2 linked regions of the Canis lupus familiaris genome follow. The protein of the gene in region 2 purifies or fractionates together with the protein of the main gene of each other region. This does not show direct contact. Links are inferred from orthologs where the notes say so. Each region holds a gene or a part of one and is shown on either strand. Other genes may lie near its edges.

Region 1 (4,726 bases), on a different chromosome or scaffold from region 2:
TGTGAACACTTTTGAGATTCATATATGTTTACAGGGCACTAGAATAGTTAAGTTTCCTTTGATTCTACCTTCAACTTGCAATCTAATCTTGCATGTTATTTACCTATTTATAACATCTTCCCTTTATAAGATTACCTCGATCACCTACCTACACAAAAACAAGTCAAATGAACCACCACAAGCACATTCATAAATATAAACCTAACACAAATCAAATAGTTTGAATACTAACACTAATATAACTTGAAAAACTTGACATCAGTACCAGAAGAGCAATAAATGGCACCCTTAAAAAAAAATAAATAAATAAATAAATGGCACCCTTTACTAGTCTTGATGTGGTTTCTGCATATGTAAATAACACTTAAAAAAAATCAATTGAGAGCCAGAAAATGAAGATGAAATGAGAAGTTGGGGCACAATAGGAAGTGCTGACCAAAATATTTATGTTGTAACACTCCAAACAATGATAGCACTTTTTCCCCCCTTTCTATCATATATATCACGAAGTACCCATGGAAGAAATATATCCACCTTAAATTTCTTAACACAATCCAAAATATCCTGTTGGCAAAAACATGAATGCTGAAAAAGCCAGGACAAGAGAGAAGGCTGGATAATTTATGGAGTTGGGTATACAGCAAAGATTTTATGTAGTTCAGCTCCAAGTTATGCAATAACCAAACTGCTAGTGATAGAAATCAACTTTTTTTTTCTGAGGTTTTGCTTTTTTGAAGAAAGCTCTCTCCAATCCTTCCCTGTGTCTCAACCAGGCACTTGAAATTTTCATCTTCTGAAAGGCTCTGGAAAACAAGTAATCTACGAGATGACACTTACCTGACCAAAGGTGTAGTGTTTTACTTAAACATGACATCATAAACTGCCAAATGGTAAATTTTTCTTAAAATCAGAAGCCCCTTCTCCCCGTTACACTATCAATTCTAACAACTATAATCTGCCATGAGATGGAAATTGGTACCAAAACAAAAAACTCAAAGCCTCGATAAAAAGTCAATCAATCAATAGGATTCCACTATCTGAAATTATCAGAACTGATCCAATGTTCAGTGTTACAAAATAAAATTAGAAAAACATGAAAGGCACATGAAATAAAACACATCCTCTCCTACTAGCTGATAAATATAAACAAACAAATAACAAGAAAGTTGAGAAAAAAAGCAAAGTTATGCTATCTCCATTGAACAATAACAAAATTATCTGAGATAATATACGCAACAGCTGAAAGCTTATTATGGCCCAGGCGGCTATCCAAACACTTTGGAAACCTAAGATACCAGTAGATGATAAACACCATTTGAAGACTGGGAAAAAAAAAAAAGACATAAACCTGTTTAATAATTTGGTGACACACTAGCCCTTCCAAGGGGCATTCCCCGAGGACATTCCAGCGACAATTAATGGAACTGTATTTAGGTAAATATCTACTGCACAGTGCTTTGGGCAGAGCACTGACCTGAGAGTCCTCAACCCGACATTTCAGCCCCAGAAGGACTGAACAGCTGCGACAACAGAGCAGGCCACTTACTCCATCTACCTGGGACCTCAATTTCCTCATTTGTACAATAAGAGAATGTAGCATAATCCCAGGGTCCTTTCCAGCTCCAACATTCTATGACCCACTTTTAGTACTATTTATCTGATACAAAGGTCTGACAGGCTCACGAGGGACAAGAACAAGAACTGGGAAGGATCCCTTCTGTTTCTGCCTTTCACATTCTTGTGGTTTTCATTAATCCCATCTTCCTAAAAGCTGGCACTTGTTTTTCTTCTTTGCCTTTTCCATCACTGCTAGCTACAAGTGTTTGCAAACGCCTCTTGCTCCACACAAGTTCTTTTCTCTTCTTTGATCAGCCTGACCATCGTGCCAGATTCCTTTAGCCTCAGACCAGCTTTTGTGACACCACGACTTGCCTTCCGACTCTCCATATCTACCCCCGACACCAGGGCTTTTTTTTTTTTTTTTTTTTTTTTTTTTTTTTTTACTATCCCTGGCTAGCAAAAAAAAAAAAGAAAAAAAAAAGAAGAAGAAAAGAAAGAAAGAAAGATAAGAAAGAAAGAAAGAAAATGAAAAAGAAGAAAGAAAGAAAGAAAGAAGAAGAAAGAAAGAAAGAAGAAAGAAAGAAAAAAAAAAACACAAAGCATGCCGCATCCCGCTGCCACACTCACCAGCCGGGGCCTGGCGGGTCCTGATGTGGGATCCCGGACCCCAGAGCCGGATCGAAACGTTCGTATTTGTTGTCTTGACTCCTTATAAGGCACTGTTCCTTGAGGCTTGCCTAACACCTCCTCACCCCACCGGGCACCCCCGGGCTCATCCCACCCCGGGAGTCGCAGATCCCCCTTCTGAAACAGGAGGCAAGGCAAGGAGCCGCCAGGGGCTGCCTGGCACCGCAACCGGGAGGCGCGGGGTGGACGCCAGCAGCCCCCTCCGCCGGCAGGGGTCGGCGCCGGGCCCTTCACACGCCCACCCCGGCACGCGCGCCCGCACCGCCCCCCCGCTCGACCCCCTCCGCCCGCCCCCGCCTCGGCACGACGCCCCTCGCGTGCCCCGGCGCCCCCCGCGCCCCCGACCCCGGCGCGCAGCCCCCGCGGCCCGGGGAGCGATGGCGGCGGCGGCGCGGCCCTGCGGGCGTCTGGGCGGCCAGGGCGCGGGGCCCCGCCCGTGCAGGCTCCCCGGCCTCGCTCCCCGGCCCCGAGCCCAGCGCTCGCCCAGCAGCTCCTACCTCGTCGGCCCTCCGGGCGCCAGCCGCCGCCGCCGCCGCCCGCCCGCTCGCTGCTTCCCTCGGCCGGGCCGCCGCGCGTAGCCGCCTGCGCAGGGTCCCCGCCCGGGGTGACGGCTCCGGCCGCCGTGTCTCCTCACGCCGGGGCCCGCGGGGGCGCGCGCGCCGCTCGCGCACCGCGGCCCGAGCGCGCCCCGCGCCAGCGCGCGCCGCTTCCTGGTTCCGCCCGGCGCGCGCTCGTGAGCCCCGTGGCCCCTCGCACCCGGGCCGCGGCCGCCGGGGAGGGACCCGGAACCCCCCGGCGCGCCGGCGTGGGGGAGGGGCGGGCGCCGCGCGCGGCCCCTTGTCGCCGCTGCGAGAGGCGCCCCTCCCGGGCCCCGAGCCGGGTCCCACTGGGCCGCCAGCACATGCTGCTTTGTTTGGGTCGCTCGACCACCGCGAGCAGCGCCCGCCGCCGACTCTTGGGGTCGCGTCGACTGGCCCCCCTCCGCGGCCCGCCACCCGCCCTTCCCCCGGGCCGAGGCCCGCGTTCCGGGGCCTGTCCCTCCCAGGCCCAGGTCAGAAGTCCACCGCTGCCCCATCAATAATTATCCCGGGTTTGCTCCCTGGAGGGCGTTTCAGCCAGGGCTGCCTGCTTACCCCCCGGGCGGAAAGCCTGAATGGGCACAGCAGGAGTTTACACTCGCCCAGGCCAACTGGATGCGTCCACTGTTCCAGAGTGAATGGGGGGGGGGGGCGTCTGACACCATTTCCCTCCCTGGGGACTCTTGCTAGCTCCCACCAGTCAGAGCTGCGGGGAGGGAAGGACTGCTCTACCAAGAAAGGGAAGAATAAACACGATCGCCTCTGTAAGATCCAGAGGAAAGGGGTCTCTGAGAGCCTCTTCCGTGTAATGGGGAGGGGGTGTGGTGTCCTGTGAGCCTGAGTCACCCACTCTCCTCTCTTCTGGCTATATCTCTGGAGCTGGCCAGCCGTTTCCCTGGCAACCCTCCAAGGGCCAGCACCAAAGCAAGACGTGTCAGATCTCCAGAAACCTAGCTGCAGGGGCAGAAGGAGGACCTTACACAGAGACACCGAGCTTTCCTTCCTCACAGTCTGAAAAATCTTCATGTCAAGAGATGATCGAGATCTGCAAGGCCCCAACTTCTCCCATAAACCTCCTTTGGCAGCTCTTCCCAGCAGCCTTCCCTTTACCTCCAGAATGGCACCAACCACAAAGATCTTTGTGTCTGTAGCTGATCACAAAGTCCTCCCTCCCCCCCACCCCCACCTAGGCAACTGCTTCTATCCCACACTTTGGGCCAACACCTGGCACAGTGCTTTGCCCAGAGTAGGTGCGGGGCACCTGGAGGTTAGAGCAGGACAGGCTGGAGCAGGAAGCTGGACGGAAACACCAGCTCTGAGCTCTCTGGCACCCCTCTGATGGTCCCTGTGCAAGATGTTTTGGCACTTGAGTATACCATATTTCTCCTTGTAAGTTTTCCCATCTGCACACATGCTGTTCCCTTTGCCTGGAATGTGGTCCTGCCCTCTAGATGTCTGCCCTCTGTCTAGGCAGTGAGAACTTCCCTCTCCCTGTCTCCCATCACATGATGTTCATGCCTTGATCGTGGCACCTCTTGTGTTGAAGGACAATGTCTTGTTTATGTATCTCTCTACCCCTGACAGCACACAATATCCCATTTAAGTCCATCCCATGCCCAGCCCAGAGCAGACACCCAATAAATATTTGAGGAACAAACCCTATACTCTAAGAATAGAAATGGAAATCAGGAGGACTGTGTAGTAATTAAGAGCAAGGAATCTAAAACCAGACTTGCTGTCAACTGCTTGAGCAAGTTTTTGGCCTAGATTTCCTCATTGTCATGTGGTGATGGTCATAGGACCTACCTTGTAGCATTGTTGTGGAATTAAGTGAGATAATACATGTATAGGGCTTTGAAAGACTTAGGCACTATAGAGCTATTAACAGCAAAGATTTGCAC
Region 2 (4,499 bases):
GATGTGGTGTCTGAACATGTGCTCGCTGCCGTGGCACCAAAACGCAAGGGCAGACGGTCAGGTGACGCAGTTCCCGTGGGGAAGGAACAGAGATGCCTGCAAAATAGAAATGTAAATGTGGAAAGAGTCTCCCGGGAAAGTACCTGCGTCTTGACTCTGGCCTTGTTTCGTGTCCAGCCACCTGGCCACCGCTGCGGTCGCGCCTGTGCCCGTGCGGAAGAACCTGGCTCGCGCTGAACCTACCCTCCAAAGCCACAGGCCATATTTCTTCACTCTTACGATAATTTTGGTTCAAAGTATATAGTCCCTTAACAAGCTCCCTGCTTCAAAAGCCCCAGACCTCTTTGTTTGGCTATGCTTGCTGAAACACGTCTTTCAAAGAGCCAGGTTTGTAAAGATGACTTTATTATAATCTCCTGTGCTTTTAAAGATAGACCGACGGCTGTAGTGCCGTAATCTACCTTGGTCCCCTAATTTAAACTGTTTCTTGTACGAAGTTAGAACATGAGGGAGTTCAGCGTGCCAAGGCTGTGTCCTGCCAAAGAATGCAAAGCAGTTGCACCTCCACCTGTTCTGGGAGGATTCGCACGGCGTGTGGACAAACAGAAGCACGGGTTGGCTTCTCAGTTGAGTGTGTTTTGAAATGTATGTTTCCGCGTCATTATTTTCTGGATGGATAATTAGGCCTTTGATTTGTTCTTTGATGCGTTAGTCGAGAAGAATATTTATAATCTCTGGCCAGTTGGATTTTCATCTACACTTTTGCCGTCGATTTTAAGCTGTACAACCTTGTGGTCAGAAAATATCGGCCGGCGTCTGTTACGTTCGTAAATATCCCTCGGACACGCAGTAATGTGATAATTGTATTTTGTAAAGTAAAAAGTTCATTATGGAGGTACTAATTCAACATTGTAATTGCATTATATAAATACCCTATGATACACATTTTTTTTGTCTACTAAAGCTCTAAAAGACTATTTTGTCTTGGGGCACCTGGGTGCAATGGTGGAGCGTCTGACTCTTGGTTTTGGCTCGGGTTGTGATCTCAGGGTCGTGAGATCGATCCCTGGTCAAGCTCTGCGTAAGATTCTCTCTCCCTCTACCCCTCTTCCCTCTCAGACTTGTGCTCTTTCTATCTCTCTCAAATAAATAAATCTTTTTTTTTTAAAAGACTATTTTTGTCTTAAAGATTTTCATCGAATTTCCCCTTGAATTTTTAACATTTCAAATGATTCCGTGCATTATAGGGATGAGCTATCTCTTATCGCAAACTGTATCTTACATACACAAACATTTTCTTGTCGCATTCATCCTAGTGACCTTTTATCAGAATTAAGATTGTAAGTCGCTAAAACTCGCAGTTAGTTGAAATTTGTGAACATTTTATTTTAGTTTTGCTACTTGGCATTTCACGTAAAACCTTTTTTTTCTCCCTTTTTTGCAGTCTGCCAAGGCACGAGTAACCGGCTCACCCAGTTGGGCACTTTTGAAGACCACTTTCTGAGCCTTCAGAGGATGTTCAATAACTGTGAGGTGGTCCTGGGGAATTTGGAAATTACCTACATGCAAAGGAATTATGACCTTTCCTTCTTAAAGGTTAGTTCAGTCAATTTGATTGTCTTACCCAAAGGATAGAAGGAAATATAAGGAGATAAGGACCTTGAGATAATGTAGTTGGAAGTGTATTTGCTTTTGCTACAGCAGTTATGTGTCCTGGGGGAACTACAGATGCAAGTTTTATCAGAAAACCACTTCACCAGCTAGTGTCAAGTCAGAGCTACGAAATAGTGTCAGAGAGAAACAGGCTGGCCTGCTGTTTCACTATCATCAGAGACACTGATATTAAGCATTTAACCATTGCTGTCGCTGTGGTATCCTGGGATATTGGCTCTTTGAGAAAAAGACAAAGTCCTACTTTGTAGCATTTTCCCATTTCCTTGGTGTAAACACTCCCCCTCTAGTTGAATCCCAGCTGCATCGCTCCTTCCATTTCCCACATGTCTCATGGTGGGCTCTCGTGAGCCACCAGGAGCCAGCTCTGAAAGCTTTGGAGTTGGGTGGTAGTTGAACTCTGGGTTTGATTGGCTTTCTGGGTTCTGTGTTGCTTTTTATAAGAAAGTGTGCAAGACGGATACAACACGAATAGATAAAACGATTTCATTTTCTTCTGAGCATAGTGAACACCAAGTGAAACGAGAGTCAGAGCTTTGCTAAATAATGCACGTTGCCCTTTATAATCACCAGCAGGCTCTAGAGGCAGAAGTACCTGAGTCATCGTAAACCCTGTCACCTCCCCTATCCTCACTGTAGTCATCCACCTGCTTTATAGTTGTCAGTCACTCGCGTGCGTGGTTGGCTTAGGTGTTCTGGGCTTTCTTGACCCATTTTAGACCTTGCATATTTGAGCTCTTGACAAGAGAAATAACACATTGACATTTGATCTCCTTAGACCATCCAGGAAGTTGCCGGGTATGTATTGATTGCCCTCAACACGGTGGAGAAGATTCCTTTGGAAAACCTGCAGATCATCCGAGGAAATGTGCTCTATGAAAACACCCATGCCTTATCCGTCCTCTCCAACTATGGCTCAAATAAAACTGGACTGCAGGAGCTTCCCCTGAGAAACTTGCATGGTGAGAGGCCAGGGCACCGGGAGGATGGGGCTGCAGACAGCAGCTCAGACCAAAATATTTTTTAGTGCCACTCAGAGAAGACTTTTATTCATCAAATACAAATGTATTGAGCACCAGCTCTGGGCAAGGTGCAGTAGGTGGAAGTGACTAAGAAGACAGTAGGTGATGGAGAGGGAAGGGAAGTTTTAAACCCGGTACCACTTCTCCTATATTCGTGGGGAAATATTCAGAGAGTGAGTAAGAAATGGTAATGGTTCTGGGACATAGAGACCAGATGACCTTGGCTGAATAAACTGCCAATCCTAATACCTGGACCTCAGGTGTAAGGGACATACATCAAAAACCTCCCCTACTTGGGACAGTCTTCAGAGCAATGCTGTAATACAGAAGAACAGAGGATGACGGTATTGCAGAAGAACTTTGAATTCCTGGGAGTAGGTCCCTCGTGAAGGTCCCTCAAGTGGAAGCTAAGATGATAGAAGGGATAGGAAGTTGATTTAAATAAAATTGAAGATAATGAGGAGCATGCCCTTGCTGTGTGGCAGGTGCAGTGCCCATCCCATTGCATCAGCAACTTCACGCCCACCCTTCAACGCGGGTGTTTACACTCCCACCATCTTACACATAAAGAAATGGTGGTAAAGTCATTCTCCCAAGGTCCCACGTTAGTGAAAAAATGGCCAGGAATGGCCACCAAAGCTCTGCCCCCAGGGTCCTCGCCCTTCCCATGTGCTGTGCGGTTGTGACGGGAAGGGAGCCCATCAGGAAGAGGGGGACGAGAGCAGAGGGTGCGTAACAGAGGGGGTCCTGGGAACGGTAGGAGCCCCACAATGGATGTGCTGGGATGAGGTGATGCATCCAGACCGAGCTCAGAAGCGGCTGGCACAGCCCTCCAGCTGGGCTCCTGGGGTTGGCCATCCTGTAAAACTGCCCGAAGACTTTCCACCCACCACTTTAGCTGCTCAGAACACCCACCCACATGGTCTGCGTTTATGCTAATACTAATTTGTGCTATTTACACGTTTTGCAAAATGGTCTGTACATTGAGCATGCCTCAATCTGCCCGTCTGGCCTCGTGCTATCTCGTGGTGACAGGCAGATGTGGTTAAGAGCATGGACCCCGGAGCCAGGATGTCTGGGTTCTAGCCCTGGCTCTGTCACTCACCAGCCAGATGCCCCTGGAGCAGATCCTCCCTGTGTCTCAGTTTCCTCCTCTTTAAAAAACGTGCATAACAATGGTAACACACTTCCTGGGGGTGTTGAGAAAATTAAGTGAATTTCTGTGGAAAAAGCACTTAGGAGTTATTCCTGTTGTTGGTATTATTTCTGTTGTTGGCATGGGATCACATGAAGGCAGATTATTTAATGTTATTAAATCCTTATTCTATGTGAATTATTTAGTAGTAATGAAGCACCGTTGTTAATAATTAACTCAGTGCCCACCACAAAGTATAAAATCATCAAATACTGAAAGTAAAAATAAAAGTGACTGCTGCCAGACTGATGACCTCTTCCTCTGCCAAGCTACCAGTCAGGGGCACCTGGATCGTCCAGGACCTTTGCTGCCTTCCTTTTACTTCTCACATTTGCAGGTTGTAGGTGTTTTGTAAGGCCCCCCCTTGACCCTCCATCGTGCATTCTCTCCTGGCACCGTGGTCTGTTGTCCTGAGTGTCACAGCAGCCTTAACGCCCCTACGTTGTGTTTCGGGTCTGACCTCTCAGCAGAGATTTATCCTCTTGACTCTGGCTGCCTCCTGACTAAATGTTCTCTCTTGATTGTCCTGCTGTCATCTTTGACTTTCTACCCAGTGCTCCACAATTTGGCCCTTTGGGACCTCCCAGCCTTCCTTCTGTGATTCCTTTGTT

Evidence for each region. Proteins that work in one complex are often made in the same cells at the same time.
Region 1: the proteins of EGFR (region 2) and STAT5B purify together in Homo sapiens (affinity purification with western blotting; 3 studies listed by BioGRID and IntAct, with this or other methods). This does not show direct contact. The link is inferred for Canis lupus familiaris from reciprocal best matches to the Homo sapiens genes EGFR and STAT5B.

The regions. Positions count from the first base shown.
Region 1 is NC_049230.1:20,520,687-20,525,412, reverse strand, and holds the start of STAT5B (signal transducer and activator of transcription 5B), read right to left. Parts: upstream 2,909-4,726; 5' UTR 2,745-2,908; intron 2,440-2,744; exon of another isoform or gene 2,188-2,439; intron 1-2,187. UniProt on the Homo sapiens protein: Carries out a dual function: signal transduction and activation of transcription. Mediates cellular responses to the cytokine KITLG/SCF and other growth factors. Binds to the GAS element and activates PRL-induced transcription.
Region 2 is NC_049239.1:6,096,338-6,100,836, forward strand, and holds part of EGFR (epidermal growth factor receptor), read left to right. Parts: intron 1-1,444; coding exon 1,445-1,596; intron 1,597-2,449; coding exon 2,450-2,633; intron 2,634-4,499. UniProt on the Homo sapiens protein: Receptor tyrosine kinase binding ligands of the EGF family and activating several signaling cascades to convert extracellular cues into appropriate cellular responses.